Linked DNA regions of Xenopus tropicalis. The protein of the gene in region 1 purifies or fractionates together with the protein of each later gene. This does not show direct contact. Links are inferred from orthologs where the notes say so. Each region holds a gene or a part of one and is shown on either strand. Other genes may lie near its edges. The genes, in order: pkmyt1 and cyclin B5.

Region 1 (2,645 bases):
TTTAGTCAAGCGCGATTGACACACGATAAGTGTTGTTTCTTGAGTGGTTATCGAGGCTAATTCCCACCCACTTAAAAAACCCCTGATCCCTCACCAGCAAATGCGACTATTTAGCAACACAGGTAACTGTCCTTTAGTAACAATCACAGTTTAAAATTTCCAATTGCGACACTGTTACAATGTTGCAATATAAATAGTGAAACAGTTATAATTCCAACAAACATAGGAAATTCTTTCTTTTAACTTTTCCTATTCCCCTTGTATATGGTTTTAATAATCTTTTAGAAATAAATTAATAAAGTATAGTTATTTTATTCCATTAGATGGTGTGCCTTGATTAAGTGTGTGCCTTTCTTACTATCCAAACTAGTTTCCTACTACATTCAAGTGCACCCTAGGAAGCCATAGTGCGAGGTTATTTCTACTGTAGGTAGGACTGTGGATTCGGCCGAATCTGAACCCTGTCAAAAAAGGCAGAATCCTGGATTCTGTGCATCCCTAGTTATTGTAACTAAAAAATCTATATTACACCCCTGGTGTGATTTTTACACCTAGAACTGAAAATACAAATAAAACCAAAGGATAAAGCTATAGCTATGACCTATTCAATCATCTTGAAAGTACAATAGCCTCTATGTGAAAATTCATGCCTCTGCAGTTTCCTATTTAGTACATGAGTTCAATGCTTCTCTATTATTACTGGGCTTCTCCCGGTTGTCAGTTGCATAGACGATCCCTGCCGCTGGAAAATCTTACAGGATCGATAATAAGGAAAAGGAAGACAAACTTGTCAAGCACAGCCCTTACATATACAAGATATTTATGTTCCTTTCAACTTTTTAGTGAAACCAAAATGATTTTGTGAAGGACCAAAATATATCACTTTGTACATATTGCAACAAGAACTGGAAAACAGCAGTAATCATGGCAAAATCATGAACAACTTATTACTCTTTCAGTTTGTAAACCTGCAATCAAGTCATTTTTTTATAAAGAAACTTTTTTTTTTGCTAAAATGCAGAGATCCGGTGTCATTTTCATAGCTAAATGTGCAGTGTAGCAAAGAGCCCCTGTCTCAATACATCCAGTATTTGGTAGACATCTCAGCTTCTTTCTCCAGAGAAAAGCCAATGGTTGGAGTCAAATATATGATCGAAAGAAAAAGTCTGGTGCTGTGGTACTGGGCACCGCTTTCATTGCTCGGTGGCATCGTCAAACATGCTGAGCAGATTGCGAGGGAGAAATGAAGAACGTTGGACCTCGGCATCGACAAATCCAGAGGAACTATGACTGGTGGAGGGGCTAGTAGACTTCACACTGCCTGAAGACTCCTGACTAATCCGGCTGACATTAGGAGTTAGAGGCAAAGCAGACCTAGAAATAGAGATTATTATCCTTTATTTATTCTACATACTTGATATCAGTCTCTGCCCCCAGGTTCCCATCACCTTCATACATACTCACTATGGTCATTTTCATCAGCAGTGGCTGAAAACTTGTTTTTTTGGAGTGAACAAATTATGTGGGTACCAAAGCGTAATACAAATGTTACTCTGGCACCACAATGTTTACTATGAAGTTTTAGGGCTGTGACACACGGGGAGATTAGCCGCTGCGCGACAAATCTTTCTTGTCGTAGGCAACTACAGTAATTTCCCCGAAATGCTATCTCACCGGCTAGAAAGTAAATTGCCGGTGGGATGGCATATGCAGCGCCGCGATTTGACGAAGTTGCCAAAGTTGCCTTGAGTGGAAACTTCGGCAAATCGCAGTGCAGCATATGCCATCCCACCGACGATTTAAATTGTAGCCGGTGGGATGGCATTTCGGGGAGATTTGTCATGTAGTGACTAATCTCCCGTGTGTCACAGCCCGTAAATGTGATGGATCTCTGTGACTTACCTCTTTCTCATGCTGAATTCAGGAGACAAATTCCGAGGGGTAGAGGTGCTTCCAAGTGATGGTCTTGAGAGCAGGTCTGGGGAATGTCTTATGTTAGGAGAAAAAAAGGCATTGATTTGAGATCACTATTCATAAATTTCCTCTACAAATTCTGTTTTAAAAGTATTTCATAACTCAGGCTATTTAGCAAACTGGGGCTCTAACCCAGTGGTGGGCAAACTGTGGCTCTTGAGCCCCTTGAATTTGGCTCTTCCAGGTGCGGGCTCGCACATACAGTGTGATCTCATTTTCGTTGCCCATAGCAAAAATCAGAAGGATGGGGCGGTCTTTGGGCTACGGGAGATGCGGCACAGGCGGGGGGCAGGATACGCAGTGCAGGGGAGGCTCGCTCGTTACATGCACGAGTGAGCCAGTGACTGCAAAAAATTTGCCTCTCAAAAGAAATTTCAATCGCTGTTTTGTTGATATTTGGCTCAGTTGACTAATAAGTTTGCCCACCACTGCTCTAACCAGATAAACAACAACAGGTGATCAAGGATCACATTTCCATTTGGCCTCTAATGATATCAGTATTATTTGGGCAGACCAAGCTGGCTAAAATGGCTTGCAGATTTCTGCACAAACATGCATAGTTTCAAGGAAGGTAGCAGATCTACCTTTTCTCAACTAGCGGAGAAAATGTTGAGTGTGTCGCTAACCTACTGTAGACCTGCTAGTTTTTAAAGACAAAACCACAAGTTTTT
Region 2 (4,428 bases), on another chromosome or scaffold:
GAGCTAAAATAAGAACAGCACTTACCTCAGATCTGGGCCCACATGTTGGTTTGATTCTTAAAGCTACATTTGCTCTGGAGGTTACTTGTCTAACTGCTTTGACCGCCACCTTGCAGTTCTACAGAGGAGAAAAATTGTAATGAATTCTTAACATAACATATGTATGGTCATAGAAAACATTGTCTTTATACCATTATTGCAGGTTTGCGTCCTGGAATTACAGTCCTGTTACTGATTTCTTCTAGCGGGGCTCTATGTCCATGTACTTTGGCTTTGGCTGCCACCACTCCACCAACGACTGCATTGTCCATCTGTCCTGACTGCTGTGGAACAGAAAAAAAATTAAAGTAGAATACAATGAATAATTTTGCTTGATAACAGATATGCAACACTAAACTTCTAGTTTATTTGGGTGCAGTTCCTCAGTGGATGCTCTATAATGTACTGTTGCCTTGCACTGGTAAAACTGGTGTGTTTGTCTCAGAAACCCTACTATAGTCTATATAAATAAGCTACTAAGTAGCCATGGAAAAAAGAAAAAACACAGGTTACATAGCAGAGAATACAATGGGAATCCACTCAGTTTATCTGTTATCTGCTATTTAACCTTTACCTTTTCTTTTTTCTTCACTTTAAGGGCTCTGGCACACGGGGAGATTAGTCGCCCGCGACAAATCTCCCTGTTCACGGACGACTAATCTCCCTGAAATGCCATCCCACCGGTGAAAATGTAACTCGCTGGTGGGATGGCATACGCGGTGGCGCAATTTCATCCCATCAGCAATTTACATTCTAGCCGGTGGGATGGCATTGCTGGGAGATTAGACGCCTGCGACAACAGAGATTTGTCACGGCGCGACTAATCTCCCCGTGTGTCACTGCCCTGGGAGGTTATGACCTGCATTGTATGCCTCCTATGGCCTAAAGTAACAGTGCATGGGGATGACCCAAACCTTGTAGCCCATTATTAAAAAGGGACATAAAGGAAAAAGTATAATCTTGCTCAATGTTGCAATTTTTAAGACCACCGTGTAACAAATTTCTTATGCAAGCATACATATCCCCAGTTCCCCAAACATTCTATTAGTGCACTGCCAGCGAGCATTAAGTTCCCTTTAAACTGAATATCAAGTTACATAGTTTCAGGCCCATGACAGACCTTTGACTGCTCTTGGCTCTGAACAAGCAGAATGTGGGCATCATTAGCAGAAACTCAAGCCACACAGGCCCTGGTGCAACATTTTACTGGGGCTTCCAAATTCTCCTACTGCTCAGACTGCTTATCATATGCTTCTCAGTGCTGCAGCAGCTTCCCTTCACAACCTTGTGGGCCTCCCTCTCTGAACTATTTTGTACCTGGGGCAAGAATGAAGTGCATCAGAATTGAGCCTCTGTACCCTACTGTGCATAACCTTAATATGTTTGAAGCCATTTGGGTGGGGACCCATCTGTGATAAACACTGGGATGAGATGAATTGGCTAGGGGTGAGGTGACCATGGCTAAATTACCTAATTTGCTGTAGTTGTGTATTGAAGCCCATGTTCCAAATGGATAAATGCATTTTTCTGTGACCAAATAAATTAAAACAAACTGCATGGCTCAAGCACCAACAAGAGACATCAAGGCAGCAATTTAAATAGCCATTTTATCTGTGTTTTCCTAAAATATATATATATATATATATATATATATATATATATATATATATATATATTTATTACACACACACACACACACATATACATACACACACACACAATAGGCAATAATCGAGAAGTAGGGAGGCCATTCAAATGTTACCAGCAGCCCAATCAGCACATAGTTGCAATCTAGAATCCAATCTACCTATAGACCTGTGCATGATGAACAGGTGTTGCTAATATAGAACCAGCTGAAAGCTTAATTAAGCACTAAGTTACACAGCAGATTTTGATCAGATTTTGTGGTTCAGATTTAACATGATCCACAAAATATTGTCACGCAACTGCAGGAGATCTGATCCCCACAGTTGTAATGTAATGTCAGATCAGATAGTCAGATGATGGGATCATGGGGTTTGTTCCTGCAATTACATCTGACAGTCAATGTAGTTCAATGAGAAGAGTGTCAGACCCATCAGATTTTCTCTCAACATATGCAGACGCAGCATTCCCTCTGAACAAGAGTAATGTCAGAGGACCGATGTTCCATATACTGTAGTTTACACATGTCCCATTTTATGTTGACCCATGTAACAACATTCAGCTTGTATGATCCGTCAGCACCGCCCTACAAAATCTCCCATGTAGTTTAGTTCTAAAGGGGGTTTCATAAATACCTAAATATCTAATCATATGGCTAAGTAATACAAAAACGTGCAGGCCACTAATAAGCTCTAGAAGTCAGGCTAGCCATTGGTCACATACTAAACAGGCCTGATATAGGATTATTCATGGCAGTATTATGAATGGAAGCCTTAGTTAACAAAAACACAAACTATCTATAAATGTTCCTGCAAAGTGTAGGATTCCCAGAAACAAAAGCATTTTCCCTTACCACCTTTAATGTCAGATTCCAGTGACAGTAGTTTGAACCACATTTAATTATGCCATTAACTGGTATAATCAATAAATTACACACTATAACAAAATTGTCCAGAACTAGACACATTAGGGCTACAACATCTGCAGCATTGTAAGGGGTTTCACACAATGTATCCATTGTGCAAACAACTTGTTAGCCATCAGCCATTTAACCCAGAGAAGAAGTAATTCTACTTGCACCAACCTATGGGCCAATAATTAGAACAAATCCATACTCACCATAGCACCCCAAGTAGCCATACTGCCCACAGCCTACCTCTCACAAAACTCACTACTAATCACTGTAGCCTTCCAGAGTTTAAGAAAACATCCCCTGTTTCTGATTGGCTGGAACAGTCCTACATACATGCCTGTTTAACTCTTCAGTTGCTGCAGTATTTGCAGTAATACAGTTTCATATATAGCAAGGCACAGTCTTCATATAGGCATTTGGAGTGCATTTAAAAGCCACCCAAAAGAACAACTGCATTACTTTAATTGCCAACAATTCCTTTAACAATAATAGATGTGAAATGTGCCTTGTGCAAGAATGCACTCAAAACCCCCATATTAAGTATATTTCCTAGGTTTTATAGTGCCATCATATGTATCACACCAACATTCACCTTTAATTATGGAGACTTGCAGAATGCACATTGTGCAAGGCAGTACAGCCCTGTTTTGGGCATATTTCATAACCCTGGCTAGTTAAACATGAGCCCTGGATTGTATGCAAATGGATAAAGTGTTGTGCTTTGACACAGTAGGAAGGTAATTATGTTTCTAAAATAACAGGATAGCAGCTGTGGATAAGAATGGGTGAGGTATGAGAGTGTAGGCTAAAATGGGGGGGATGAGGATAAAACAGAACAGGTATGAGAGTGTAGGCTAAAATGGGGGGGATGAGGATAAAACAGAATGTTTTATCCTCATAGACTGACTTTTTATATGAGCAAAGATTTTGCATTATTCCTAAGCAAACACTGTGGGACTCCATTATGAATACAACATGTTTTGGTCCCATCAGCTTACTATATATATATATATATATATATATATATATATATATATATATATATATACTATTCCACAGCTACCCATCCTTTCCCATACCTATTTGCCACACCCCCAAAACTAAAGATCAAAGAACTAATGCTTAACAAAGAAGTATGCCTGCCTTTAGCAGGGAAGATCTGTGCCCCCAAAGATTCCCCCAGTAGCTCCCCATCTTTTTTTCTGCTGATTCCCTGCACATGCTCTGTGCTGCTGTCACTTACTGAGCTTAGGGACTGATTCATATATACTTCATATATTGAATATAAGATTTATAACACGTGGCTGATTAGTAATTGATTCAGATACTCATGTCAGCTTCAAAGCCAATGCAATTTGCGTAAGAATGTAAAAAAATTCAGCCCTGTAGCATCAGCTTCTATTACAGGTGAACCCAGAGCACACTGAGCATGTGTGTGTGTACATTTGTCTTTGCAAGACACTGCACCTTTTCTAACTCCAGCCCTGTATGGAGTGGGTACGGGTTTCATAACTAGTGATGAGTAAATCTGTCCTGTTTCGCTTTGCCAAAAATTTGTGAAACTTTGCAAAAATTCACATAACACGTAAAATGACGCACACAATTTTTTGTTTGTTTGTTTGCTGCTCAGTTTGCGAAAAAATCTGGCAATGGCGAAATGCAAAAAATTTCGCTCATTACTATTCATAACATCAGATTCAGATTTTCATTTGGATTCTATATCCTTGTGTTTTTCATGCTTTTTAGTTAACCTCAGCTCATGCCAAGGTTACAGATATAGAAAACATTGCTGTCAGCCATAGCTCCAGGTATATCTAGAACACTGAGGATGC

Evidence for each region.
Region 2: the proteins of pkmyt1 (region 1) and cyclin B5 purify together in Homo sapiens (affinity purification with mass spectrometry; 4 studies listed by BioGRID and IntAct, with this or other methods). This does not show direct contact. The link is inferred for Xenopus tropicalis from reciprocal best matches to the Homo sapiens genes PKMYT1 and CCNB2.

The regions. Positions count from the first base shown.
Region 1 is NC_030685.2:12,691,449-12,694,093, forward strand, and holds the end of pkmyt1 (membrane-associated tyrosine- and threonine-specific cdc2-inhibitory kinase), read right to left. Parts: intron 1,990-2,645; coding exon 1,903-1,989; intron 1,375-1,902; coding exon 1,194-1,374; 3' UTR 804-1,193; downstream 1-803. UniProt on the Homo sapiens protein: Acts as a negative regulator of entry into mitosis (G2 to M transition) by phosphorylation of the CDK1 kinase specifically when CDK1 is complexed to cyclins. Mediates phosphorylation of CDK1 predominantly on 'Thr-14'. Also involved in Golgi fragmentation.
Region 2 is NC_030679.2:99,201,939-99,206,366, reverse strand, and holds the start of cyclin B5, read right to left. Parts: upstream 2,839-4,428; 5' UTR 2,824-2,838; coding exon 2,803-2,823; intron 324-2,802; coding exon 192-323; intron 119-191; coding exon 26-118; intron 1-25. UniProt on the Homo sapiens protein: Essential for the control of the cell cycle at the G2/M (mitosis) transition.